Linked DNA regions of Xenopus tropicalis. The protein of the gene in region 4 binds, or shares a complex with, the protein of the main gene of each other region. Links are inferred from orthologs where the notes say so. Each region holds a gene or a part of one and is shown on either strand. Other genes may lie near its edges.

Region 1 (5,036 bases), on a different chromosome or scaffold from region 4:
ATTTGCAAAAATGTATTCTTGTTGTCTTGGTAAATTGATGATTTACCAAGAAGAAATGAGGAGGAAAAGATGTGAATGTTAGCCAATGCAAAGTCAATTCACCAAAACTTGTCATGCTCTCCTATTAGTAAATTGCTGCTGTTGTGGTGACTTTTTATTTTTCCCAAAATACTTCACATTTTAACTTTTTTCTTTAGTAAATATGCCGCATAGCAACTGCAACTTTAATACATATGCATTTGTGAGTTAAAAATACAGCTGGGAGTGCAGTGCTTCCCAAGCAGGAAAACCCTAAGGGCATGGTCTTGATCTCAAGCCCTCTTTGAGATGAAACATTTGGTTATAGCCCTGACTAGCTCCTAACAAGGCTAAAGATACTGTATATTGCCCCAAGAATATGTAGGACAGCATATTAATGTTGACTCCACACATTCATTAAAGCTGCACTTGCATATAGGAGACCAAAGAGACGTGTTTCACAAAAAATACTATAGGTATGGAACCTGTTATCCAGAATGCTCAGGACCTGGGCTCTTTCGGAAAAGCAATCTTTCCTTTATTTGAATCTCTCTACCATAAGTCTGCTAAAAAATAATTCAAACATTAAAGGAGTTGTTCACCTTTGAGTTAACTTTTAATATGATGTAGAGAGTTCATTCTGAGACAATTTGCAATTGGTCTTCATTTTTATTGGTAGTTTTTTAATTATTTATATTATAATTATATTACTTTTTGTTCCGCAGCTTTCCAGTTTGGAAGTTCAGGAGTTATGTGGTTGCTAGGGTCCAATTTACCTTATTAACCAGGGAGTGGTTTGAGAGGACTGATATATGAATTGTAGAGGGGCTGAATAGAAAGATATGTAATAACAAGTATCAATAACAAATAAAACATAATAAAAACAAATAAATAAAATTGTAGCCTCACAGAGCAATAGTTATATGGCTGCTGGAGGTCAGTGACCCCCGTTTGAAAGCTGGAAAGTGGCAGAAGAAAAAGGCAAATAATTCAAAAACTATAACAGTTAAATAATGAAGACCAATTAAAAAGTTGGTTAGAATTGGCCATTCTATAACATATTAAAAGTGAACTATCCCTTTAAACCCAATAGGATGGTTTTGCCTCCAATAAGGATTAATTATCTTAGTTGGGATTAAGTACAAGGTACTGTTTTATTATTACAGAGAAAAAGGAAATCATTTAACCATTAAATAAACCCAATAGGGCTGTTCTGCCCCCAATAAGGGGTAATTATATCTTAGTTGGGATTAAGTACAAGGTACTGTTTTGTTATTACAGAGAAAAGGGAAATCATTTCTAAAAATTAGAATTATTTGTTTAAAATAGAGTCTATGGGAGATGGCCTTCCCATAATTCAGAACTTTCTGGATAATGTGTTACAGGTCCCATACCTGTATAACTGGGCCACTGACCCATAGTCTGAGCCACCTGCCAGGTGAAAAAAATGATTTCCTTTTTCTCTGTAATAATAAAACAGTACCTGTACTTGATCCCAACTAAGATATAATTACCCCTTATTCTATTTAGAAAATACTGCCCTGCTTCCAAGACTCCAGACCCCCCCCCCCCCCCTCTCCCTCCGTAGAAGACAAGCAGTATGGGAACAAATATTCAAATGTCTGCGATCTTCTTAGGGAAATCTTGCACATGGCTGCTTACTGCTGCTTCCTATAGTAATCCTACTACATATATCCGGCAGCAGTGAATATATCTATTAAACACCTTCCATAGTACAGGTATAGGACCCGTTATCCAGAATGCTTGGGACCAAGGGTATTCCAGATAAGGGGTCTTTCCGTAATTTGGATCCCCATACCATAAGTCTACTAAAAAAATCAATAAAACATTAATTAAACCCAATAGAATTGTTTTGCCCCAATAATGATTATTTATTTCTTAGTTGGGATCAAGTACAAGGTACTGTTTTATTACTACAGAGAAAAAGTAAATCAGTTTTAAAATTCTATATTATTTTATTAAAATGGAGTCTACTGGAGACAGGCTTCCCGTAATTCGGAGCTTTCTGGATAACGGGTTTCCGGGTAAGGGATCCCATACCTGTATTCATAATGCAGGGACTGTACACAATGCAATGTATGGGGCAGCACACACACAAAAGGAGTATGATTATAGTGTGTATAGACATTAATAGGGATGCAGGAGTTCCAACCTGCAGCAACAGTCACCAGTGAAGGCAGCACACACACACATATACATATATATATATATATACACTTTATAATTAATATTATTATTATTTATATAGCGCCATCAATTTACGCAGCACTTTACAGAATAGATGTATACATATGTACCCAGGCACAGCTCCCCTACAGATGCACTATAATCATGAAACAAGTGTTTCTGGGGTTCATTCAGTATGAAACACTGGTCCCAAAAACCTGTGCTTAGTTTTCTAAATTTGTATAAATAATAAACAAACAAAAGGAATTCTGGGAATGAATTCCAAACTCCTAAAAAAAATCCCATTTACATGGGTTTATCCTATAGGCTACAGCTTAATGATTTGTTTATAAATAATAAGAAAGTAAAGAAACTGCTAGGGAAAAATAAAATCCCACATGTAATATGCTGGTTGCACACGCAGAGCTGATACAAGTGCAAAGCATGGCTTTTACACTCCCTTAGGGCTGTCGGTTCCTGTCATTAACTCTTTAGTGTGAGATTCTTCTACTAGAAAGTGGCAGCTCCATCATCTGCTCTCGCCTGGAACCAACCAATCAGCGGTCCCAGGAAGGTTTAGGGGGCACAGTACCTGCACGGCGGGGTTCTCCAGCGAGTCCATATGGATCTCCTGCTGTGATGCCGAGGAAGACTTGGACATGTTATTCTGGACCATTGGAATAAAGGAGAGTCAGCAGGATACTTGGATAAAGTAAAGCGGTCAGGCTGCCACTTGCATTCAGCACTAGCCACAGTAGCCTTTCTACTTAAACAGTTTCCATCACTATCACTGATATTCCAGGTGCTCCTTGAAGGCAGCTCCCCCCTTCCTGCAGCTCCACTCGCTGTGACTCCCTGTGAGTGCTACAGTTCAGCCGCCTCCCCTACAGGCATCACTAAGGAGGAAGGAGTGTCTAGAGCCAGGGCTTCAGCTGGGAGTTCTGAGCTGCTTCTGATCCAGCTGGGTCCCCAGGTTCCCATAATGGGCTTCAGTCATCTAAAGGGTCTGAGCAAGAGCTGCTTCCCTGCCTCTCTCCTCATAACACTGCAGCTCTCTCTCTGGCAGCAGCCGCCTCATACTTCTTACTTTCTTTCTTTTCCTCCACACACTGAGCCACAGCCTGGTCACATGATACTGTGTGTGAGAGATGGTGTGAGAAAATGGTTCTGCTTCAGTGTGGGAAAGTCAGACTGAACTTGTGTGCCTGTGTCTGTCTGTGTGTGTCTGTGTGTGCCTGTGTGTGTCTGTGTGTGCCTGTGTCTGTCTGTGTGTGTCTGTGTGTGTGAGTGTGTGCCTGTGTGTGTGAGTGTGTGTCTGTGTGTGCCTGTGTGTGTCTGTGTGTGCCTGTGTTTGTCTGTGTGTGCCTGTGTGTGTGAGTGTGTGCCTGTGTGTGTGTGTGAGTGTGTGTCTGTGTGTGCCTGTGTTTGTCTGTGTGTGTCTGTGTGTGCCTGTGAGTGTCTGTGTGTGTCTGTGTGTGCCTGTGTCTGTCTGTGTGTGTGTGCCTGTGAGTGTCTGTGTGTGTCTGTGTCTGTGTGTGCCTGTGTCTGTCTGTGTGTGCCTGTGTGTGTGTGCCTGTGTGTGTGAGTGTGTGTCTGTGTGTGCCTGTGTCTGTCTGTGTGTGTCTGTGTGTGCCTGTGTTTGTCTGTGTGTGCCTGTGTGTGTGAGTGTGTGTCTGTGTCTGTCTGTGTGTGTCTGTGTGTACCTGTGTTTGTCTGTGTGTGCCTGTGTGTGAATGTGTGCCTGTGTGTGTGAATGTGTGCCTGTGTGTGAATGTGTGCCTGTGTGTGTGAGTGTGTGCCTGTGTGTGTCTGTGTGTGAATGTGTGCCTGTGTGTGTCTGTGTGTGTGAGTGTGTGTGAGTGTGTGCCTGTGTGTGTCTGTGTGTGAGTGTGTGTCTGTGTGTGCCTGTGTGTGTCTATGTGTGTCTGTGTGTGCCTGTGTGTGTGAATGTGTGCTTGTGTGTGCCTGTGTGTGTGAATGTGTGCCTGTGTGTGTCTATGTGTGTCTGTGTGTGTCTTTGTGTGCCTGTGTGTGTGTCTCTGTGTGTGAATGTGTGCCTGTGTGTGTGTCTGTGTGTGTGAATGTGTGCCTGTGTGTGTGAGTGTGTGCCTCTGTGTGCCTGTGTGTGTGCCTGTGTGTGTCTATGTGTGCCTGTGTGTGTCTGTGTGTGCCTGTGTACCCTTGGTCCCGAGCATTCTGGATAACAGGTCCTATAACTGTATTACCTATCACACAAGGAGGGTACCCACTGGCTTCATAGTCAGTAAATTAGTGGTTTCTGCCCAAAACCCTAAATCTACTTTGCAGGATTCTGTGGTTACCTGACCCAGTGCAGAATTCTAGTGTGCCAGGCTTTCTAAAGAAATCAATTTTCTACAAACCATCTCTCAGACCCAGGACCGGAACTAGGGTAGGCAGAAGAGGCAGCTGCCTAGGGCGCAACGATTTAGGGGCACCAGGCAGACTCTCCTGCCTACCCCTAGTGCTAATTTGTCATTGCCTCCACCGCTTGTCATTAGCGGCGGAGGCAATGACCGACTAACCGGGGAGGTGGGCGGAGTTGGCCGACCGGGTTGCCTAGGGCGCACGGTCGGCTTGGCCCGCCCCTGCTCAGACCTTGAATTAACTGAAAGGTGCTGGGCATTCTATATGTTCACCTGTTACGCTACACTGGCACTCATGGTCCCTAAGAAATGCCCAGGGTAATGATTTCTAAGCATAACACTTAGATGTTCCCAGTTGGGACCTGAACTGGGAGACCTGGGAAATGAAAAGAAAATGGCAGTATGGTGCTCAGCACGTAGTACCCCAGACTGGTGATGTTTATGAAC
Region 2 (5,168 bases), on a different chromosome or scaffold from region 4:
CTGCCCTATGCTGCCTGTGTGTGCCATACTCTGCCTGCCCTATGTTGTCTGTGTGTGCCATACTCTGCCTGCCCTGTGTTGGCTGTGTGTGCCATACTTTGCCTGCCCTATGCTGCCTGTGCGAGCCATACTCTGCCTGCCCTATGTTGCCTGTGTGTGCCATACTTTGCCTGCCCTATGCTGCCTGTGTGTGCCATACTCTGCCTGCCCTATGCTGCCTGTGTGTGTCATACTCTGCCTGCTTTATGCTGAAAAAAAATGGTGATTTGCATTTGAATTTTGCAGTTTGTACATTGCACATTGTACTCTTTTTGGAAATGAGCCTTCATATGTATCTGTGCATAACTGTGGCCCCTATCCATACATAAGACATTGCATGAAACATACAGTTTCATGCAATGTCTTATGTATGGATAGGGGCCACAGAATTCCAGCAAGGAATGAATTAGGGGAGGAACAGAATGCTTTACCCATCCCTCCAACCAGGGTTGTCTAAAAAAATAGAGGGAGGGACACCATATGCCTAATTGGCCACGTCCCCAGTATGCTCAAACCCAGCAACAATCTGTTTTCTGCATTTCTGCACCGACTTGCAAACTCATTAACGCATGTTTAGTAGTGACATCATTATGATGTTTTTGTACATTACACATGGCAAGGAGTACAGTCAATGGCATACTTATGGAGGGGAGCAGCCTTTACATTCTAGTGATAGGGCCCACAGTGAATATCTGCTGAAAATGCAAAGTCTCACGTTTTTTGGTGGATATCGGCTACATGTGCCTGCCCCCAGTGTATTCCACTCATTCGGGTGCAGGCATAAGGTAGGCCAATTGTTACATTTTTCAGGCTTGCTGAAAATACACTCCTTGTGGCATTAGTTTTAAGGCCTAAATCTAACAATTCATGTTCTTTCACGTAACCCTTATCATTGCCATTAATTGCCATTAATGTATCTTAAAACATGCACATTTATATCCCGAAACAGTCCTTTTGTGATCACCAAAGATGGCCAGCTATATAGGGTAAACAGCGTAAAATGTACTCATTTAGATGGCAAACAAATAAATCTTTGGCCAATTTAGCACATCAAGTTGCGGCCAAAATCAGGCTTATGTAACACAGAGCACTTGGGCCAACAATAAGACCATATAGAGTCACTATACAGGTAAAGGATCTGTTATCCAGAATGCTCAGGACCTTGGGTGTTCCAGATAAGGTGTCTTTTTCATAATTTGGATCGGCACTAAAAAAAAAATGTAAACATTAAATCAACCCAGTAGGATTGTTTTGCCTCCAATAAGGATTAATTGTATAATACTGTTTTATTATTACAGAGAAAAGGAAATATTTTTTCAAGATATGATTTATTTATCTGGATAATGGATCTCATACCTGTATTTAGTTTAATCCACTAACTATAATTATAAGTTTTTTGAAACCACAACTAAACTCATTTCCACTAAAATTATGAAGGTCTAGTCATTTATTAAAAGATCCAAATTGAAAAAGCACAAACGAATAAAAATGCAGAATGAAAAGGAAAAGAACATGAAAACCATAAAATTTTTGTTTTTGCTGCCATCTGTGAGCAAATGCGCTACAATAGAAAATTGGTTCTGTTTTTACCAGTGTAAAGTACTTTCTGGGTGTGATTTGCACTTATTGCAGAAATGGCTCTGTGTCCAGTCTGCCATTGAAACCACTATCCCTTGTAATGTTGCCATACATGGGCTCATAAAAGGTGCTGACTTGATCCTTTGGCAGCTTATTGAAACATGTATTGGTGACCATGCCAAATAAGAGGATCTTACATTGTATGCCCAGCTTTACTCTAGCAACCACACAAGCTCAGCTTTTAACAACACAGCAGCAGAAATAATTAAACCATCACAAAGAAAAATCAAAATCAAAACTGGATATTTCTGGTGCTATAATAATAAATGATGATGATATTGACTAAGAACAGCATTCCCATGCTGTAAATTCGTTTTAAGATGAATCTCCACTTTAATGGTTCTGGGCAGATAAAAATACTCTAATTTCTAATGTAAATCCACCAAGGACTATTGGGTTAGTGGGGCCCGACTGCTTATTATATGTGTAGCTCAGCAAATCTATGTTATTAGTCACAGAGAAAACAGAACCATGGCATGTAGGTAGGATAATGGAGGCAAGTGTAAAAGCTGATTTCAACACAGCCGTGGATTATGGGTGGTTTGGGAAAGAAGGCAATGATGAGATAGTTAACAGTCAATTAAAATCAGAGACAAGCTGATTAGGAGCCATCTCTTGCAATCCAGCTGAGCCAGAGCCTGTCATGCCTGATCCTTTTCCCTCCGTCTCAGCCTCCCTCCCTGGCTAAATCATGTTCATTTGTTGCTTGTCAGCAGCTGTCAGTTTCTCCATGATCGCTGTCTATTTGTTTTTTCTTCTTATACATTTCCATATAATAAAAGATCATTCCACCTGGCAATAGCTACTGCCTTTTAAGTTTTCCTTTTGCCGAGTGTATGGTGCCTTATTACTATTAATTTTTAACCTTTATTTTTGGATTCATACACTAACGATTCAATACAACAAAGTACAGTGACATTGGTGTTGCTCATAATCCTATAGAAGACAATTTAGTAGTATCCCTATTCACTGCTTCCCCCCCCCACACACACAATATTAATGTACCAGCATGCCCCTTCCCAGTTTTCTTTCTGTTTGTGGTCAATGGTGGTACCTATCCCCTGTGCCTTTTTATCCCCACCTTTACCTTTGTTTACCATTCTTCTGTGTTTCAGTAAAAAGCAAGAGGTTTTATATTAAAAGCACTAAGCACAACATGGCTCATTGCACATCCCCAAAAAGCTGCTCTGTTCTTCAGATAAAATAGCCCTCAATGCAACAACACTAACCTTCCCTTTAAGGCAGTAAAGAAAGGCAAATGGTTACCTCATTCAGAAGAAATGTTGCACTGGAGTCAGAGAAAGACATAGAAGGGGCATAAATAGCCCAAAGCCGCACTCTCAGAAGCTTTTTTTATATACAAAGCAGACTTTGCATTCTCTGTTTATCTGCCTCGCTGTGCTCATAGCTTTTCTCTCCATCAAACACACACAAAACACACAATTTCTCCCCTTCCCTGCCTCTCTTACTCCTCCTTCTGTTTCTCTCATTTCATTTCCACCTCTCAGTGCCTAAGCCTGGCTGAAATAATGGATTCACAGACATTTAAGTGCCGAATAATTGTATTAATGGCTTGTGGCAACACAATGGGGGGGAAAAAAATCTTTGAAAGGCACAAATGGATTTTTTTTTTATTCTGCAAGGAGCAGCCCCCGGCACATAGCTTACCATTCCCTGTCCTTTAAGGCCACTCACAATGAGCAATAATTCCACATCTACAGGCAATGACCTTTATTGGCAGGGCTATGAGCTCATGTTCAGTGATGGATATACAGCAGGAGTAACTACACATTGTGATAGAAGCCTTGATCAATTTCTTTCATTATATTGAATGGAAAAAGATGGAGATATGAGTTCTATAAAGACTATAGGGAGTCATTAACTAAGTGAAAGGCAGGCTGCAAAGTGCAAATAAAGGGTGCAATCTTAAGTTTGCACTTTGCACACTGCCTTCCACATTTTTGAATTGCCACAGGTCTCTGCACCTGTGACAGCCTCAGTGAATACAGTGCTGCCTGTGTTAGGCAGCAGGGCCGCTCCTGCCATATGGCAAGGTGAGAACAGCAAAAAGCCACCTTTGAAACTATTGAGAGTTGAATTTTCATTGTTTAAAATGAAAGTTCAACTCTTCTATTGCGGAATAAGAAATTGTATCCACCAGTGCTTTGCCAAATGGCCACTAATTGTGTTGATATTGGAGGGAAGATGGAACATGGGGTAAGTCCATATTAGGCTAATTAGTTTGCAATTTACCTTTCTAAGTTTAGAAGGGAATAATTCAGAATCAGTTTAGTTTAATCAGTTCAGAAGGAAATCATTCCTCTCTGTGTGCCCCAACTGGCAGCTCCCATTCTTCTAAATCAATTTGTAAAATGTTTCCTACAAGTTGAATGTGATGGACTCTAATCCAGGTTGGTGTTACTATGTATTATGGGGATGCACCGAATCCACTTTTTCGGATTCGGCCAAATCCCCGAATCCTTCGTAAAAGAGTTGGGCAAATACCAAACCGAGTCCGAATCCTAATTAGTATATTCTTATTAGGTTTTGGAAGGGTTTAACCCTTCTACTGCCAGCCATTTTGGTCAAAGCGGAACTTGTATTGCCAGACAGTTTTTGAACATTTTGCACTGTTTCACTTTAGGGGCCTTTCCTCGGGGGGACTTTTAGTTTACCAAGGAAAACAATATATCGTTTTTTTCAGAACAACCTAAGCTTTCAAAATATGGTAGAATTTTTGTGTAATTCCAATTCTGTAACAAGATATAGGCTTCTAAATGTCTAAAAATGCAAAAAAAATCAAATTTTCCATAATATAATCACACATACTAGAAACAAAAATTATTTTATGCACGAATATACAACTGATTTGGAAAGTCCCATGTCTCCTGAACGTGCCAATACCAAATATATATAGTTTTATGGAGATTTCTCACTTGTATAGGTCAAAAACTCCCAGCAGTACACTACCAAATTCCCAAAGCACTGCTCCAAAAAAACTGCATACTTTGGATTTCAAGGCCAAAATTCCACTAACAGAAGGTTTATCCCAGAAAATTGTACATTTTTGGAAAGAACAGATTCTGGGGAATACAGAATAGGCACAACTGTCTGTCTACTCCAAACTATCAAGTCGCAATGCTTTCCTAAAGTTATTGGTTTTTATCAAAATTTGTGATTTTTTTTAAAAATCGCTTCAAAGCTTCCAGTCTATAGTATCTTATCTCCTACAGGTCATAAAGTAACCAAATAAAACACCCTAAATATGAATGCCTGGGGTCCACTGAACAGTTTGATGCCCAATATGTATAGGTTTACCTAAGTATGTGGCATGTAGGGGCCCCAATGTGAACATACCCCATATGAACTGTCATTTCTGTCATTTCAGCTTCTGCAAAATCAACACATTTACATCATTATATGTGGGATAAAGCTAGTAAAAAGTATGCTCACCCCAGAAAGTCATATATTTTTGGAAAGTACACATTCCC
Region 3 (4,283 bases), on a different chromosome or scaffold from region 4:
TTCGGTTCGGGATTCGGCCGAGTCCTGGCTTTTTTTTAAGGATTCGGTTTCGGCCGAACCGAATCCTAATTGGCCTATGCTGATTAGCATTCGGAAAGGGTTAAATAGTCAGGTGAAAAAGATTTTAAACCCCTTCCGATCCCAATTATTTAGGATTCGGATTCAGTTCGGGATTCAGCTGAATCCTTCAGAGTGAGTTCGGGGGTTCAGCCAAACCCAAAAAAGTGGGTGCATCCCTAATTACTTATTTTTCTATTAAGGTCCTCCCCTATTCATACATCCGTCAAACCACACCGTGGTTACTAAGGCAATTTGAATCCTAGCAACCAAGTAGCTGCTCAACCTCCAAACCGGAGAGCTGCTAAACAAAAGCTGAAATAATTAAAAAAACTACAAACAATAAAAAATGAAGACCAATTGCAATTGTCATAGGCTATTACTCTCTATATCATACTTAAAGTTAACTCAAAGGTGAACAACTGTATCTAGTTGTCCAAAATCAACAGCAGGTGGCGCTGTTCTTTAAAAATCCATCATAAACTGCTAATATCTTAAAACCTATAAAAATAATAATAATGTAGGTTGCAAAAGGGCGCTCTAAGCTGCATCACACTGATTTGTTTTGAGGGTTTACATATCCTTTAATATCAGTATTGATCCAGTCATTACGGCGTACAAATCGCACCCTGCTTATCCCACGGTAGGCAGTCATGTATATATACATATATAAGTATCTTACCAGGTTTTAATTAGGACTGTATAAATACGTGTAAATGTATGTATAAATCATTTAAGAGGCTTGTTTATACAATGCATACATTGAATTCATGTTTATAAATATATATATTCACATAAACTAGATCAAGAGATATCTGAGGAAGGGATGAATACACTTTCGGCACCTATATATGTATATATCTCACTGTATCCCTCGGAAGTTCTGGGCCTGAACCAATATGAGCGGAGAATGGGCCTCTGAAGATTCTACTACAAACAAGTCCAAAAAAAAAACCAAAAAAAAAACCAAAAAAGTAACTCACAATGAAAAAACGACAATCTTCGTCCCTTTGGAAAAAGCTTGTGCTGGGAATACTCAATGCCAAAACCCTTTGGTCGGTACAAATTAGGAACACAAACCAAGCAGGAATCATTATTATGAAAGGAACCGCAGGCAAAAAAAATGATCAACATATGCAGGCACGTGTATACATCAGGCATCTGTTAACTCCTTCCGCCCGGCTAGTCACGGGGGGGGGGGGGGCAATGTTTCCAGATATGTGGGTAATTCGTCAGCTCTAAGAGAGGCTGTCCCTTCTGGCACAAAGTGTGTAATACATTCGTGGTATGCATTCTTCTCTCCAGCAAGTCAGTTTATGGCACATTGTTGAGTGGGGTGGTGGGGTCTCTCCGAAACCCCCAACAGGTCAGGCTGCCGGAGACCTGGTACTCGTTTCTATAAGGGGTGCAGGAGGAGCTTGGAACGTGGGGGTTGCTACTGGCTTGGAAGGGCTTCTTCCTCCTCTCTAAATCAGGGAGCTGAGACTGGGGTAGTGCAAAGAGGGTACTACAAGACACTGGGTTCTCATGAGGACAGCGTTGTGCAATTGCTGGGTTGATAGTGCAATGTGTGTTGGGGAAGTGAGACTACGAGAGTGGCCCAGGCCTGGACTGGAAATCAAAATAGGCCCTGGCATTCCAAGTACACATTGGCCCAAACAGCCCCCCAGCCCAATAAATAGTGACTGTCTATGGCACCTTACAGCCCCTCTGGCATTCCCAGTACCCAGAGGCACAAACAGCCCCCCCAGCCCAATAAATAGTGACTGTCTATGGCACCTTACAGCCCCTCTGGCATTCCCAGTACCCAGAGGCCCAAACAGCCCCCCAGCCCAATAAATAGTGACTGTCTATGGCACCTTACAGCCCCCCTGGCATTCCCAGTACCCAGAGGCACAAACAGCCCCCCCAGCCCAATAAAAAGTGACTGTCTGTGGCACCTTACAGCCCCCCTGGCATTCCCAGTACCCAGAGGCCCAAACAGCCCCCCCCCAGCCCAATAAATAGTGACTGTCTATGGCATCTTACAGCAGCCCCTCTGGCATTCCCAGTACCCAGAGGCCCAAACAGCCCCCCCAGCCCAATAAATAGTGACTGTCTGTGGCACCTTACAGCCCCCCTGGCATTCCCAGTACCCAGAGGCACAAACAGACCCCCCCAGCCCAATAAATAGTGACTGTCTATAGCATCTTTCAGCAGCCCCATTTGCCAGACCCCACAGATTGCCAGTCCAGGCTTGAAGTGGGCTAGGATAAGGATAGTGGGCGATGAGAAGGCAATGTCGTACAATCAGTAGGTCTGTAGACATGGTACAGTAACTGGGTCACTGGGCACTGTTAGTGCTGTGAGTTGATCCCAGAGAAGTGGGAAATGCACAAAGGGCAGGGAATGAATACAAGTCAGTGCAGAGTGTCATAGGGCAGTGTCAGTGCAGTTAGATTGCAAAAGGGCAGTGTTGGTGCAAAGAGACAGTGGGTAGCATTGATAGTGCAAAGAGTGAGAGAGAGAGAGAGTCACAGGGCAGTAGGAATGTCCGTAGATCACAGGGCAGTGATGGTTAAAGAGAACCAGAGGAAAGTCCAGTGGCTACATGTAAGAGCCCTGAGGTGTAAAAAGGAACGGGTGGTGGCAGTAGGGCATTGGGGGTGTTACAGATGGCAATGCTTCTGGAGTAAATGTAATGCAAGATGCCGAGAATGAGGAGTGAAACAGAACTGTACAGTAGGCAGAAGAGGCTAGGGTAATACAGTCGAATGCTAAGGGAAGTGTGTGTTTGAGTTGTGTGGTTCCCTTATGCCCAGGCCTAACGAATACATACATCTCTACCCCAGCTGTCCAGCTGCCCCCTGTTCCTGCCATCCCCTTCATGCCAGTACTGCTCCCTGCCTTTCCCTTGCGGCCTTGGAGATTCCCTCCTTCTCCTCTGCAGTAGGTTCTCTTGATCCGGACCCAGCTCCTCCCAAGACCCTTGACGCTGGAGCCTCCTGGTCTCTCCTCCTTGGCTCTTAGGCTCTGGATCCTCATAAGGGTCAGTCTCTATGTCCATGCAGGAATCACCTGGCTCTGTGTAGGCAGAGTCCCGACTGCCCTGTGTCTCCGACTCCAGCGTGTCATGTCGGGAAAGGATGCGAGAGCCCATCTGACCTCTCCGAAGTTGCCCCTCGTACATACCCATCTGATCTGCTCCATCCGGCCTCAGCTCCCCGTGTACCAAGTAGGAACCCTGGTTAGTAAGACAGACAAAGCATGCAGAAACAGGAGCAGAAGGGTTAAAAGCATGCACACATAAAAGTAGGTTAGAACATTTCAAGCAAATATTCAACTACACTGCCTTACACTGCCCAGCCAGGAAAGGATTAAAAAGGCATTAAGATAATACTTTCATGGAGTTACATAGCAGAGCTATTAAACAATTAATATAGGGTGTATTGCAGCTTGTGTGCACCATCTACTAACAGGCAGATACACCTGAATTCTGGGAAAAAATATGGTAAAAAAATCAGGCTCAGAAAAATGCAAAAGGTGTTAAATAATTGGATGAGTTGGTAGGTGAAAGAACAGGAGTTGTAGGTGTAATATCAATCTTTAAGGAGAAGTTATGGAGATTCCATGGAACAGTACTAGAAATGATGGAGACTGCATGGAACACTAGGTGAAGTTATGGAGCTTCCATGGAACAGCAGGAGAAATTATGGAGACTGCATGGAACACTAGGAGAAGTTATGGAGCTTCCATGGAACAGCTGAAGAAATTATGGAGACTGCATGGAACACTAGGAGAAGTTATGGAGCTTCCATGGAACAGCTGAAGAAATTATGGAGACTGCATGGAACACTAGGAGAAGTTATGGAGATTCCAAGGAACAGCAGGAGAAATTATAGAGACTGCATGGAACACTAGGAGAAGTTATGGAGATTCCATGGAACAGCAGAAGAAATTATGGAGACTGCATGGAACACTAGGAGAAGTTATGGAGATTCCAAGGAACAGCAGAAGAAATTATAGAGACTGCATGGAACACTAGGAGAAGTTATAGAGATTCCACGGAAAAGCAGAAGGAATTATGGAGACTGCACGGAACACTAGGAGAAGTTATGGAGATTCCATGGAACAGCAGAAGAAATTATGGAGACTGCATGGAACACTAGGAGAAGTTATGGAGATTCCATGGAACAGCAGAAGAAATTATAGAGACTGCATGGAACACTAGGAGAAGTTATGGAGAT
Region 4 (4,422 bases):
CTGAACTGTGATATAATTCACACCTTGGTGTTGGGTGGAGACTCCCCGTCTGCCGTGATGGCCTTCAACTCTATCTTCTCTTTGTTCTCCTCCACGGCTGGCACTGGAGACTTCCCTAGGGACTCATTCTCCTGTTTCTTCTCAGGGCTAGCAGTTCTAAGGAAAAGAAGAAAATAGAATGCTCCTTTAGTTTCTATGTCAGGAGACATCCAACTAGAATCGACTACTTCTTGTAGAAGAATGTCCAATCCTGAGAATGGAATAAGTTGCACAGATTCTGATTTGCTGCCACTATGAGGTCCATGTATAGCTCGTTTAAAGCAAAGTCATAAGCTTCTTACATCTATTAGTATAAATATATTTTTGTACTAATACTATAAGAATTAGGGGTTGATTCGTGTGAGAGCACATCATGTTCTAGATTTAATATATGGCACTAAGCAACGGAATATTCATTTTTAACGCAATCAGACCTTGCTAGTTTCTTCCTCTCCTTCTCTTCTTCTTCCTCTTTCTGAGCAGAGGTAAGACTCTCAGCATCGGCCAAGTTGTCCACAGCAATGGCCAAGAAGACATTCAGAAGTATATCTGTTTGCAGAAGATAAGGTCTACAACACCTATGACCTACTGTTCATCTGGAACCAATAGAAATCCTATTGAGAGATCAGGAAGAACAAGTTTCCAACTCAAGCCCAACTGATAAGGCTCATGTTTTACACAGGTGTACACAATACTATCGCAAGGAAGAATCTCGGGGCAAGAGTGCAAAGACAAAGGATACAATTTCCACAGATGAAGAGTATGATGAAATAAATGCACACAAGCATCCCAGGAAAGGAGGGTCCCCCATATGCCATGATTCCATCATACATTACTGAGTTCCAGTCCTCTCCGGTAAGGATCTAGGCAGAAAAAATAACACATTCCAGTATAACTGAATAAAACACTGCTAGTCTAGAACGTATAATGCACGTAACATATTAACACAACCATAGGCCGGGACAAGCCCTTTACTGCACTCTACAGAATGGAGCTGCACTAAGGACAGGGTGATATGCCACCCCTAAATTCTTGCCACCATAGGCCTGGGCCTTCATATAATTTACTGGGCTTTTTATATATTTTATTTAGTAGGGGTGGGTAATAAACTGGAACCTGCAGTGCTGTCACACCAAACTCCTTGGGTTGATAGACCATGTTGTGTTCTGGCTTAATGTACAACACAATGGAAAGCCTATAGGACAGTGGTTCTCAACCTTCCTAATGCTGTGACCCTTTAAGACGGTTCCTCATGTTGTAGTGACCCCCAACCATAAAATATGTGTTTTCCGATGGTCTTCGGCAACCCCCAAAGGGGTCCCAACCAACAGGTTGAGAACCGCTGCTATAGGAGGTAAAAAGGATCCAGTCAGCAAGCCTGGGAGGCAACGGCAAAGCCATTTATAAAATCAAGGTATGGTGGCCCTTTAATCTGAACCCCCTTATCCCACACGCAATAATGTTTCCTTGACATTAATAAAAAAAAATGTTATCCCTGCACCTGAAAGACAGTAAGCAAAGCCTGTGGGAAGTTATCGAACGTGCTCCTGCGGGTCAGCATCTCGTCAAAGTTAAATTTGCCGCCAAAGAGTTGCATCCCCAGAAGGGAAAAGATGATGATGAAGAGGAAGAGAAGGAGGAGAAGGGAAGCGATGGAGCGCACGGAATTCAGCAGCGAGGCCACAAGATTACTCAGAGAGTTCCAGTACCTGCAAAACCAGAACTGAATTATTTGTGAATATAAGCAGCGAGATTATCAGAAGGGCACTCATACTGCTCTGCCGAGTCCGACAGCTATCATGTATGCATACCTACAGAAAATAGTTAGTCGGATACCTGGTAATCTTGAATATCCTGAGAAGGCGCACACAGCGCAGCACGGAGATTCCCAAGGGTGACATGATCCTAGTCTCGACTAATATGGTCTCCAAGATCCCACCACACACAATGAAGCAGTCAAACCGATTAAACAGGGAAACAAAGTAGGCTTGCAGGCCAAGGCTGTACATTTTGAGAAGCATCTCTGCTGTGAAGAGAGCCAGGAGCACTTTGTTGGCTGTGTCTGCGAATAGAGGAGAATATGAAATATGATAAGGCCTTATGTGTCAATTTAATTTGTGACAACAGACATTAAATGATTCCCTTTTCTCTGTAATAATAAAACAGTACCTGTACTTGATCCCAACTAAGATATAATTACCCCTTATTGGGGCAGAACAGCCCTATTGGGTTTATTTAATGGTTAAATGATTCCCTTTTCTCTGTAATAATAAAACAGTACCTGTACTTGATCCCAACTAAGATATAATTACCCCTTATTGGGGCAGAACAGCCCTATTGGGTTTAATTAATGGTTAAATGATTCCCTTTTCTCTGTAATAATAAAACAGTACCTGTACTTGATCCCAACTAAGATATAATTACCCCTTATTGGGGCAGAACAGCCCTATTGGGGTTTATTTAATGGTTAAATGATTCCCTTTTCTCTGTAATAATAAAACAGTACCTGTACTTGATCCCAACTAAGATATAATTACCCCTTATTGGGGCAGAACAGCCCTATTGGGTTTATTTAATGGTTAAATGATTCCCTTTTCTCTGTAATAATAAAACAGTACCTGTACTTGATCCCAACTAAGATATAATTACCCCTTATTGGGGGCAGAACAGCCCTATTGGGTTTATTCAATGGTTAAATGATTCCCTTTTCTCTGTAATAATAAAACAGTACCTGTACTTGATCCCAACTAAGATATAATTACCCCTTATTGGGGCAGAACAGCCCTATTGGGTTTATTTAATGGTTAAATGATTCCCTTTTCTCTGTAATAATAAAACAGTACCTGTACTTGATCCCAACTAAGATATAATTACCCCTTATTGGGGGCAGAACAGCCCTATTGGGTTTATTTCATGGTTAAATGATTCCCTTTTCTCTGTAATAATAAAACAGTACCTGTACTTGATCCCAACTAAGATATAATTACCCCTTATTGGGGGCAGAACAGCCCTATTGGGTTTATTTCATGGTTAAATGATTCCCTTTTCTCTGTAATAATAAAACAGAACCTTGTATTTAATCCCAACTAAGATATAATTAATCCTTATTGGATTAAAAACAATCCCATTGGGTTAAATTCATTATTTATTGATTTTTTAGTAGACTTAGGTATGGAGATCCAAATTACAGAAAAACCCCTTATCCGGAATACCCTTGGTCCCGAGCATTCTGGATAATGGGTCCTATACCTGTATATATCAAATGGGATCATTACCCAGTTGTATCGCCTACATAGAAACACTTGCTTACCTTGTACCTCGGTAAGCCAATCGGGTTGGTTATAGTGCTCAGAAGCGATGGTCAGAGTGTTCAGAAACACAAGAAATATAACCAGCCAATAAAAGACGTTTGATTTTACAGCCGCCCTACACTTCCTTCTGCAAAACCGGTTCCATCTCCGCCAGTACCGACTATGGAAGACAGGAGAAACATGGTTATGAGTAGCAAAATGTCAGCTGGCACATGATATCAGAGTGAGGAGTAAAGGTGGCCATACACGGGCAGATCCGCTCGCTTGGCGATGTCGCCAAGCGAGCAGATCTTCACCCGATATCCCCACCTACGGGTGGCGATATCGGGGAGGCATGTCGGTGAATTTGATCGTTTGGCCCTGGAGCCAAACGATCGAATTCTGCAAGCGGCAATGGGGCAGTCGGTTCGGGGACCGCATCAACGAGCCGATGCAGTCCACGATCCGACGGGATTTTCTAACCTGGCCGACCGATATCTGGCCTGAAATATCGGTCGGCCAGTCCGATCGTTTCTGCCCCTACACGGGCCGATAAGCTACCGAGTCGGTCCAAGGGACCCATATCGGCAGCTTCTATCGGCCCGTGTATGGGGACCTTAACAGAGACTAGTTCAAGGATTGATCTTCAAGAAGACTGTTCCATGCGTCTATCAACCTTCCTGTAGACAACTGCTCACTTGGGTTGCCTTTCAGATGTTGGGATCCTTGATTCTAGCGACCTGGGGCTTTTGGACTTTGCTTCCCTCAACTTCACTGTCAATCCCCTTTTTACGAAAAAAGACCCATATAGCATGCAGAATAAGTTCCGGAACTTTGGAACCTTCTGGTTGGTGTCCAACTAAGGAAGCTAAAGCATTAGTTTTGTAAAACAGGGAAAGAACAAGAAAAATAATGTATTGGGAGGATCCCTGGGGCCAAACGATCGAATTATAACGACGGGTATAGGCAAAGTCGGTCCGGGGACCGCATCAACGAGCCGATGCTGTCCCCGATCCGACAGGCCCATCGTTAGTGCCCAAAGAAGGGCCTATTAGCTGCCAAATCGGTCTAAGGGACCCATATCGGCAGCTAG
Region 5 (4,743 bases), on a different chromosome or scaffold from region 4:
CCCCTGTAGGTGTATTACTGTAATTGTAGAACCCCCGGTGCCCCCTGTAGGTGTATTACTGTAATTGTAGAACCCCCGTGCCCCCTGTAGGTGTATTACTGTAATTGTAGAACCCCCGGTGCCCCCTGTAGGTGTATTACTGTAATTGTAGAACCCCCGGTGCCCCCTGTAGGTGTATTACTGTAATTGTAGAACCCCCGTGCCCCCTGTAGGTGTATTACTGTAATTGTAGAACCCCCGGTGCCCCCTGTAGGTGTATTACTGTAATTGTAGAACCCCCGGTGCCCCCTGTAGGTGTATTACTGTAATTGTAGAACCCCCGGTGCCCCCTGTAGGTGTATTACTGTAATTGTAGAACCCCCGGTGCCCCCTGTAGGTGTATTACTGTAATTGTAGAACCCCCGGTGCCCCCTGTAGGTGTATTACTGTAATTGTAGAACCCCCGGTGCCCCCTGTAGGTGTATTACTGTAATTGTAGAACCCCCGGTGCCCCCTGTAGGTGTATTACTGTAATTGTAGAACCCCCGGTGCCCCCTGTAGGTGTATTACTGTAATTGTAGAACCCCCGGTGCCCCCTGTAGGTGTATTTTTATGATACAGTTGGTGTACCTGGTGCTGTCATTGCAGTCACATATGGAGAAGGTATGTCGCTTGGCCAATCAGAGATGCCATTCAGCCCCCACCCCAGAGATGATTTCCAGGAGGACTGGGCACTATGGCAGCTCCTGGCACCCTTGGGCACTATGGCAGCTCCTGGCACCCTTGGGCACTATGGCAGCTCCTGGCACCCTTGGGCACTATGGCAGCTCCCTTTCCATAGAAATAGGCAAATGCACAGATGATAAAGTAAAACTTGGTTCTATTTACCCTTGAAATTTAAAGACATTCAGTGATTAGATAAACACCACAAAGGCCAAAGTCACACATTATTTCTCATATCTTCCCACCCCCTGAGCCCCCCGACTCTGCAGCTGTAACGACGCCCTGTGAGTCCCTCAGTCTCCCTATGGGTCGGTGTCTATTCCTGTAATGGGGGGGGGGGCACAGGCCGGGGGACGCTATTTAAAGCCAGTGAAATAATCCAGTAAATAAAGGTGCTGGGGGCAGGGAGAGAATCCCAGCTGCTGTAGGGGGGCTGCCCCCAAATCCCCCTCCCACTAGTTACCCAGAGGGGTTCCATACAGGGGGTGGGGTCCCCCAAATCCCCCTCCCACTAGTTACCCAGAGGGGTTCCATACAGGGGGTGGGGTCCCCCAAATCCCCCTCCCACTAGTTACCCAGAGGGGTTCCATACAGGGGGTGGGGTCCCCCAAATCCCCCTCCCACTAGTTACCCAGAGGGGTTCCATACAGGGGGTGTGGTCCCCCAAATCCCCCTCCCACTAGTTACCCAGAGGGGTTCCATACAGGGGGTGGGGGCCCCCAAATCCCCCTCCCACTAGTTACACACCCAGAGGGGTTCCATACAGGGGGTGGGGGCCCAAAATGAATTTGCTGTGGGGCCCAGTAATTCCTGGTTACGCCATTGGCCAAGCCTTGGGGAGGAGCTTACACTATACAGGAAAGAAGCGAGATATTGGGGTGCGCCACCCCCTCTGCCCTCACTCGCCCATTGAGTTCAGTCAGTGAATGTCGGGGGTCCATCTCCGGTCCGTGACCCCCCGGAATCTCCCCTCACATGTCGGGCTCCGCGTCCATACAGGTCTCCCAGGGGTTCCTGGGCATGCGCGGCAGGGAGATGAGCACCAGGGCGACGCCGCACACGAACAGCAGCACGAAGGCGGCGCAGGCGCAGGCGAAGGACCACGAATAATAATACTCGATCCAGACCGTCTCCTTACTGTCTATCATCCGGTGCACCGACTGTCTGATCACTTCCGCCGAGATAATCATGCACAGCCCTGCAACGGCAAGCCGGGGGTTAATCTAATGTTTCTTAGATGGGAATTCAGCTGTTTAACTGGATGTATTGCATTGGCTGAGCACAAACCCCTCCCCCTGTGAGCTGCCATCATAGAGTTCTAGTCCCACCCACTGCTTGGGTCACAGACTCCCTGCCCCTCCCCCTATAAACTGTCATCAGAGGGCTCTAGTCCCACCCACTGCTTGTGTCACAGACTCCCTGCCCCTCCCCCTATAAACTGCCATCAGAGGGCGCTAGTCCCACCCACTGCTTGGGTCACAGACTCCCTGCCCCTCCCCCTATAAACTGTCATCAGAGGGCTCTAGTCCCACCCACTGCTTGGGTCACAGACTCCCTGCCCCTCCCCCTATAAACTGCCATCAGAGGGCTCTAGTCCCACCCACTGCTTGAGTCACAGACTCCCTGCCCCTCCCCCTATAAACTGCCATCAGAGGGCGCTAGTCCCACCCACTGCTTGTGTCACAGACTCCCTGCCCCTCCCCCTATAAACTGCCATCAGAGGGCTCTAGTCCCACCCACTGCTTGGGTCACAGACTCCCTGCCCCTCCCCCTATAAACTGTCATCAGAGGGCTCTAGTCCCACCCACTGCTTGGGTCACAGACTCCCTGCCCCTCCCCCTATAAACTGTCATCAGAGGGCTCTAGTCCCACCCACTGCTTGGGTCACAGACTCCCTGCCCCTCCCCCTATAAACTGTCATCAGAGGGCTCTAGTCCCACCCACTGCTTGGGTCACAGACTCCCTGCCCCTCCCCCTATAAACTGTCATCAGAGGGCTCTAGTCCCACCCACTGCTTGGGTCACAGACTCCCTGCCCCTCCCCCTATAAACTGCCATCAGAGGGCTCTAGTCCCACCCACTGCTTGTGTCACAGACTCCCTGCCCCTCCCCCTATAAACTGTCATCAGAGGGCTCTAGTCCCACCCACTGCTTGGGTCACAGACTCCCTGCCCCTCCCCCTATAAACTGCCATCAGAGGGCGCTAGTCCCACCCACTGCTTGTGTCACAGACTCCCTGCCCCTCCCCCTATAAACTGCCATCAGAGGGCGCTAGTCCCACCCACTGCTTGAGTCACAGACTCCCTGCCCCTCCCCCTTATAAGCTGCCATCAGAGGGCTCTAGTCCCACCCACTGCTTGAGTCACAGACTCCCTGCCCCTCCCCCTGTAGGCTGCTATGAGTGGGTGCCCTAGCCCCCTTGCCTTGTTGGCTTACAATGTTGGCGGATTTGTTGCCTCCCTGATTTGCCCCTGAGTGTGGCAGAGACATGGGGGTTTCTAGGGGCACTGGGGGTACAAACCTGCAAAGATGAAGAAGAGGCCGGCGGGTTTGAGCAGGTAGTCGAGCTTCTCCTTGAAGGACAGCAGGGTGCACACTGTGCCCATAGTCATGAACCCCACTCCGATGATGGCGATGGCGGCTGCCGAGATGCTGTACTCTGGGGGGGGGCAAGATCAGGGGGTGAGAGGGCAGAGTGGAGGCTTCTGGGACATACACAACGAGTAACGAGGGTTGGGGGGGCAGGGACATTGGGGAGACAAACGCACAGTGATGTCACAATGGGCCCCTCACCTTTCTGCGTCGTCACCTCGAAAATATCCGCGTTCTCCCCTGAAGTGAAATGCTTGAAGTAGGTGCAGCTGTGCTCTGGGGGGGCAACACAACGGGGGTCAGATCACTCTGCGCGGCCATCTGGTTGCTAAGGTAACTGTGCTTAGCAACCAGGTACCAGTTTGGCAGTCGGACTGAACTTGATGCAAGTGATTATTTTATCATCAGGTCTTTGCCTTGTAGCTATCGACAGCCAATAGGAACAACTGCTGTTATCTCTGGGGTTCTGGGGATTCCCTGCACCCTGATTGTTAGAGATTTGGCTCCACCCCCCTGACCTTATTCCCATGGGATTCCCTGCACCGATTATTAGAGATTTGGCTCCACCCCCCTGACCATATTCCCTTGGCCATGTGGCACTCACATGGTTAAACTGCTCCCACGTTCAGCTTTGTATCTGTCTATCGGTATTGATCCCAATTGGTTATTGATTGTGCTGTAGGGTGAGTGTGAGAGTGGGGTGACTCTGTGGGGGGCAATTCCTTATTGTATGTGGGTCCCTGTGTAAGGGGGTCTTTCTTGGCAGGGGATTGGCTGCCATGTTACTTTACTTGGCGTTCTTGCCCTACTGTCTCCCTCTTGCCCTACTGTCTCCCTCTTGCCCTACTGTCTCCCTCTTGCCCTACTGTCTCCCTCTTGCCCTACTGTCTCCATCTTGCCCTACTGTCCCCATCTTGCCCTACTGTCTCCATCTTGTCCTACTGTCTCCCTCTTGCCCTACTGTCCCCATCTTGCCCTACTGTCTCCATCTTGCCCTACTGTCTCCATCTTGTCCTACTGTCCCCATCTTGTCCTACTGTCTCCATCTTGCCCTACTGTCCCCATCTTGTCCTACTGTCTCCATCTTGTCCTACTGTCCCCATCTTGTCCTACTGTCCCCATCTTGTCCTACTGTCCCCATCTTGTCCTACTGTCCCCATCTTGCCCTACTGTCTCCATCTTGTCCTACTGTCCCCATCTTGTCCTACTGTCTCCATCTTGCCCTACTGTCTCCATCTTGCCCTACTGTCTCCATCTTGTCCTACTGTCCCCATCTTGTCCTACTGTCCCCATCTTGTCCTACTGTCTCCATCTTGCCCTACTGTCCCCATCTTGCCCTACTGTCTCCATCTTGCCCTGCTGTCTCCATCTTGTCCTACTGTCCCCATCTTGTCCTACTGTCTCCATCTTGTCCTACTGTCCCCATCTTGTCCTACTGTCTCCATCTTGC
Region 6 (5,160 bases), on a different chromosome or scaffold from region 4:
GCAGCAGAATACAGATACTTCTCTTGATTTGTGGCTTCAGCAGAGTGGATTTCACTAGGGAAGCTACAAGTTTTTCTCTTGTTTTAGACATTTCCAGTATCTACAGGTATGTGAGTCTCTGCTCCATAGAGCATACAGTGGAAGTAGGGTGCCAGAAGGTTACAAAGGTTCTAAATTCTGAAGAACAAAAGAATGTAACGAATGCAGAGATCAATCCCATGCCTCTCTGAGTCAGAATGTAATGACAACCTTTTTCTGGAGCCGCCAGCTTTGTCACAGAACAGCTGAGCTTCAAAAAGGCAGGATTCAGCCTCTATTAATTTTTCGCCCCCTTTGTACACTGCCATAAAAATGGTTGATTCATAAATACTGACTTACCATAAGTTTATTTTGGCTGCTATCTAGATACAGTAGCCTACAGAGTAATCCAAATACATGAGGCTAAAATACAGGATTGTGCTAACTAGCATTATATCTGTGTGTTCAAGGTATGGGACCTGTTTTCCAGAAGGCTCAGGGTTCTTTCCATAATGTATGTATGTATATCTTTATTTATAAAGCGCTACTTATGTACGCAGCGCTGTACAGTAGAATTCATTAATACAGACAGGGGGTTAAAGATAATGGATAAATACAAAAGATAATGGATAAATACAAAGTACAACAATAAATACAAGGTGCAGTTGGAATAAGAGTCAGAAACACAAGATGAAGGAGGTCCCTGCCCCGTAGAGCTTACAATCTATATGGATCTATAATTTGGATCTTCATACTTTAAGTCCACAAAAAAAAAAATAATTAAACCGTTAAACAAACCCAATGGATGGTTTTACCACCAATATGGATTCACAGCTTAGCTACCATCAAGTACAAGGCACTGTTTCATAATTACAGAGAAAAAAAAATAAAATTATATGGGTAAAATTGAGTCTATGGGAGATGTCCCCTTCCATTATTTGGAGCTTTCTAAATAAATGGTTTCCAGATAACAGATCTCATACCTGTATCCGACATCTGATCCAGTCAGTAAATGCTTTCTTTGAGGATCCCTATGGGTGCCATGTGTAATCTAATGAAGCAACAGAACATTGTATTTCGTACCGAAAACTGCTAGTTCACTGAATGTTTTGGAACTATGAAAATTCTTTCATCTCATATTTTGTACAGGGAACCGCTAGTTCACAGAATGTTCTGGAACTATGAAAATTCTTTCATCTCATATTTTGTACAGGGAACCGCTAGTTCACAGAATGTTCTGGAACTATGAAAATTCTTTCATCATCGTATTTTGTACAGAGAACCACTAGTTCACTGAACGTTCTGGAACTATGAAAATTCTTTCATCACAAGGGTGTTCTAGAGCTGTTGGCGCCATACTCCCTACCAGCTGTATTCCTATATGCCACCTACACATTGTTTAAATACCATTGTTTGAATGCATGCAGTATAATTACGCAAATACAGCAAGCAGAAAACCATAGACGCCTGAAGCTTTCGGTATATTAACCACAGACAGTGCTTGGGGTTTTGTGGACAAACTATTTTCGTAAGCAGTGTAACTGAAGCCCTGGAGATATTAAAAGCCATGTTTGATGGCTGATAACAGCTGTACTCTGTCTGAGCGCTCTGATGGGACATCATCCCACACAAATTCTAAAGGCTTGGCAGCTGACTGTATACTTTTTGTAGATGCGAGGGGTTAAAATTAACAGCTTATGTGTCCAAAGACAGGACAGAAACAGTGAATGTGACACAGGCAGTTTGCATCTTGTTGTAAAGAGAAAGCACCTTCCAAAATATTTGGATGGAAGTAGATGTAGATGCTGGCACTCATACTCACACACATACTGTACATGTATAAAGGCTGCTACTGAATGGAAGAACATACTGGTGTTTCTTATTGGGGAGTCTTTGGCAGCACCTGAGTGATGTGTGTGTTTCACACTACCTTACAGCCCCAGGAGGCAGCTATTAGGACCAAACAAGAGGTAAAGAGATTAAATTACATTAGATCCCCTAACATATCTAGTATGGAATTATCCTAGAATAAATAAAAGTTAAAGACAAGAGAAGACAATTTTTTTGGCCACTAACCATTCCATTTTAGCTAGGGCAGTCTCATGTTTTGGGTTATGAAATGGTCGCAGGCTTACTGAAAAGTGGGTGGAGTTATGGGCAGGTTTGGGTGTGGTCTTGTGGAGTGGAAACATGGCCACAAATATCCCCATTTTTAATCAGCATTGGCAGGAATGTAAGCGGATGTTTGGCAAAGTGCCACTGACACACCCACTAAAGTTTATTGCTTACACACTGGGAGGAAAGATGGGTGATCACAGTGGGTTTTGAAAATGAGTCGATTAGATAAGATATGCCTATAAGCTATTTTATTGGTTCTCTAAAATGTATGGCAGCCAACTTGTTTCACAGCATGAAAAAAATTATCAGATTATAATGTCGGGGGGAATGAATAAGCAGTAGAATGTTTGAAAAATGTTTTAACTACTAGGCAAGACTTAAAGAAACAAGATCTGTTCGATTTTCTTTTACTTATGATATAAAATCAAATTGCAACAGTGTTTTGGTTTGCGCTGCCTAAGCTTAGTTTTCCAGCATTCCGTGTATCCATTTAAGGACTGTAAAGGCTGCAGTGATGGAAACAGTGGGTTCCGGACCGGTGCTCCATGACTCTTATAACCAAATGTTATTTTATAAGGATAGCTAGAATCTCAGCCATAAGGCAGAAGTAACAGGATATAGACATTAAATGCAAACATAAAGATAAATAAAATATTTCTAAAACTGAAATAAATCACTGTCACAAGAAATCCCTATACAGTGATCTAAAGTATTAGAACAAACACTATAATGATTGCATCCCCTGTAAAGCAATAAATCTTTGTCTAAAGAGCTTACAATTTGTGTTAAGCATTTGTTAGTGACTTGCTATAGTCAGAAAAGCAAATGAAACCAAGGTAATGTGCCTATTTCAGGAATAGGCATCTTGCCCCCTTTCCCCCATAATTCTTGCTGAACTACAACTATCAGAATCCCTGCGCTTCTGCCTCAGCTGAAACACTACAGTTCCACTGTATTTAAACTCACAAAAATATATCATTGCTATAAATAATGATAAAGATCAATATATTTATTAACAACCTTGATGTGGCCGAAACATTGTGTATGTGGAATTTTCTTTACAAGATAACTAAAATGAAATCCAAGCAGGTACATGATATTTTGTTTTATGTGGCATAAAGATCATTTAAAAGGAAATACAAAGAAGCATTAAAGGGCAAACAGAAATGGCGTACAATGCCTAGACAAACCTTACACACCTGTAGTTCTCAGATGGGGATCTACTGGAACATTTTGTCTTCAGAAGGCACTTTCAGACCTTAGGTGAGGGGCACAGAGATCCTTCGTTCACTCCTCTCAGATAATGAAACAAACTGCTCCTCAGAGGAGAGGGAGTGACAAGTGTGGAGGTGACAGGACAGCTGAGAGGCAAAGGCTGACACAGAGAAATCGGAAACTTTACAAGCAGCCATAGCACGGAGGCAGTAGGCCCAACCAGGAATTGGAGAGGTGGCTGAGAGGTGGGAAACTGAGGAAAGCGCAGGAGTCATTTCATTCCTGGGAGTTTGTCACACACACAAAACAATTCCTATTTTTACTGGAATTCAACTTGGAAATGATAATATGTTTTGGTTTTAAATGTGCTTTTTTTTCCCTCTTTCCCACTAATGAATATGAAATGCCAGGAAAAGGCTTCAGGCCTGTTTGTGGTTTGGCAGAAGGAATTCCAGAAGGGAGGCAAACAGAAAGGTAAATTATTCAGAAGAAAGAAAAACATCTATAAAGCTTAGATTGCTTAGATTAAATTGCTCTGTGAAATACTAAAGGTTATGTGTTGGGGAATCACCAGTTTATATGCTTTGTGTAATATAAAAATGGCAGTCAGTATGCTAAGCATTGGAAGATATTTTACCCAACACATTCACTGCATTCCATGGATAGAATTCAAGAGACTCAAAACATTCCAACACTGGCTCTAAACATTCTGTTATAATAATTTCAGGAAATGTGTTTCACCTTTAAATTAATTTCATGGGATGGCCAATTTTTAGCAACTTTTCAATGGTCTTTTTATATTTTTTGTATCATTTTGTGCAGCTTTCAAACGGGGGTTACTTATCTTTCTATTCATCCACTCTACTATTCATATTCCAGTCTCAAACTACTGCCTGGTTGCTAGGGTAATTTGAAACTTAGCAACCAGATAGCTGCTAAAATTCCAAACTGAATAGCTGCTAAACAAAAAGCTAAATGCATTGAAACCACCAATAATAAAAAATGAAGACCAACTGCAGATTGTCTCAGCATGTCACTCTCTACATCATACTAAAAGTTAACAGTGGCGTAAGAATGGAGGAAGCAGACCCCACAGTCACCAGGATGGGGGGGGGGGCAGGGGACAGGGGGGCCCGGACCACAGGGGTTGCTTCCTCCAGTACTGCATATAAATCTCTGCTCCGCGTCAGCTTTCAGGTAAGAGAACAGGCAGGTGTGGGGATTCATATGGGAGTGGGCACAGAAGCCAATTCAGGGGGGCAGGGGAGTCTCCAATGAGTCTCCTTGATGACCAAAGAACACAACATTCTATTTTTTTTTTTATTCTGTTCAAAATCTGGAGAATTATTCTCATAGCATAAAAAAGTGTACATTTTATTGTGACGCTCTTCCGTTTAGTGCTAATGTGCAGCTAGATTTGTTACGGGGGGGGGTTAACTTTCTAGAATGGAGCAGCTATAAGTTTATATGTGTTTCCAGCACCAGTTTGCTCGTCTGCTGATGCACCATGCGCAGGGCAACATCTTGATCAGCAGATGGAATAGTGGTACAAATGATCAACCAGTGATAATAAAAACAATTAAATGTCACCCGTTTAGAGGAGGCACAGGGTTGTCACCCTATTATATATGGCAGAGCATCTTTCATACAAAGAGCAGATAATGGGGAAGCCAAACAAACCACACAACATGGGTTTGACCTGCTGAAGCTACAAGTCAGTAACAGTTAGAGGGCTGCAGGTATGTACTGAAACTTTGTATCTTCACTGTCTCTGCTCTACCCTTACACTTACCCTGGCCTTGGATGTTC

What was found.
Region 1: cacna1c (region 4) and cacnb2 share a complex: the UniProt entries of both Homo sapiens proteins name them as parts of the calcium channel complex. The link is inferred for Xenopus tropicalis from reciprocal best matches to the Homo sapiens genes CACNA1C and CACNB2.
Region 2: cacna1c (region 4) and cacnb3 share a complex: the UniProt entries of both Homo sapiens proteins name them as parts of the calcium channel complex. The link is inferred for Xenopus tropicalis from reciprocal best matches to the Homo sapiens genes CACNA1C and CACNB3.
Region 3: cacna1c (region 4) and cacnb1 share a complex: the UniProt entries of both Homo sapiens proteins name them as parts of the calcium channel complex. The link is inferred for Xenopus tropicalis from reciprocal best matches to the Homo sapiens genes CACNA1C and CACNB1.
Region 5: cacna1c (region 4) and cacng1 share a complex: the UniProt entries of both Homo sapiens proteins name them as parts of the calcium channel complex. The link is inferred for Xenopus tropicalis from reciprocal best matches to the Homo sapiens genes CACNA1C and CACNG1.
Region 6: cacna1c (region 4) and stac3 share a complex: the UniProt entries of both Homo sapiens proteins name them as parts of the calcium channel complex. The link is inferred for Xenopus tropicalis from reciprocal best matches to the Homo sapiens genes CACNA1C and STAC3.

What each region holds. Positions count from the first base shown.
Region 1 is NC_030682.2:28,261,263-28,266,298, forward strand, and holds the start of cacnb2 (voltage-dependent L-type calcium channel subunit beta-2), read right to left. Parts: upstream 3,473-5,036; 5' UTR 2,882-3,472; coding exon 2,798-2,881; intron 1-2,797. UniProt on the Homo sapiens protein: Beta subunit of voltage-dependent calcium channels which contributes to the function of the calcium channel by increasing peak calcium current. Plays a role in shifting voltage dependencies of activation and inactivation of the channel.
Region 2 is NC_030678.2:135,903,099-135,908,266, reverse strand, and holds the start of cacnb3 (voltage-dependent L-type calcium channel subunit beta-3), read right to left. Parts: upstream 3,097-5,168; 5' UTR 2,986-3,096; coding exon 2,944-2,985; intron 1-2,943. UniProt on the Homo sapiens protein: Regulatory subunit of the voltage-gated calcium channel that gives rise to L-type calcium currents. Increases CACNA1B peak calcium current and shifts the voltage dependencies of channel activation and inactivation.
Region 3 is NC_030686.2:10,416,595-10,420,877, reverse strand, and holds the end of cacnb1 (voltage-dependent L-type calcium channel subunit beta-1), read right to left. Parts: intron 3,281-4,283; coding exon 2,861-3,280; 3' UTR 2,135-2,860; intron 1,806-2,134; 3' UTR 728-1,805; downstream 1-727. UniProt on the Homo sapiens protein: Regulatory subunit of L-type calcium channels. Regulates the activity of L-type calcium channels that contain CACNA1A as pore-forming subunit.
Region 4 is NC_030679.2:8,936,169-8,940,590, forward strand, and holds part of cacna1c (voltage-dependent L-type calcium channel subunit alpha-1C), read right to left. Parts: intron 3,511-4,422; coding exon 3,350-3,510; intron 2,102-3,349; coding exon 1,876-2,101; intron 1,749-1,875; coding exon 1,541-1,748; intron 903-1,540; coding exon 782-902; intron 589-781; coding exon 474-588; intron 157-473; coding exon 24-156; intron 1-23. UniProt on the Homo sapiens protein: Pore-forming, alpha-1C subunit of the voltage-gated calcium channel that gives rise to L-type calcium currents. Mediates influx of calcium ions into the cytoplasm, and thereby triggers calcium release from the sarcoplasm.
Region 5 is NC_030686.2:51,107,787-51,112,529, reverse strand, and holds the end of cacng1 (voltage-dependent calcium channel gamma-1 subunit), read right to left. Parts: intron 3,570-4,743; coding exon 3,495-3,569; intron 3,361-3,494; coding exon 3,223-3,360; intron 1,901-3,222; coding exon 1,674-1,900; 3' UTR 843-1,673; downstream 1-842. UniProt on the Homo sapiens protein: Regulatory subunit of the voltage-gated calcium channel that gives rise to L-type calcium currents in skeletal muscle. Regulates channel inactivation kinetics.
Region 6 is NC_030678.2:140,076,210-140,081,369, forward strand, and holds the start of stac3 (SH3 and cysteine-rich domain-containing protein 3), read right to left. Parts: upstream 3,435-5,160; 5' UTR 3,327-3,434; intron 1-3,326. UniProt on the Homo sapiens protein: Required for normal excitation-contraction coupling in skeletal muscle and for normal muscle contraction in response to membrane depolarization. Required for normal Ca(2+) release from the sarcplasmic reticulum, which ultimately leads to muscle contraction.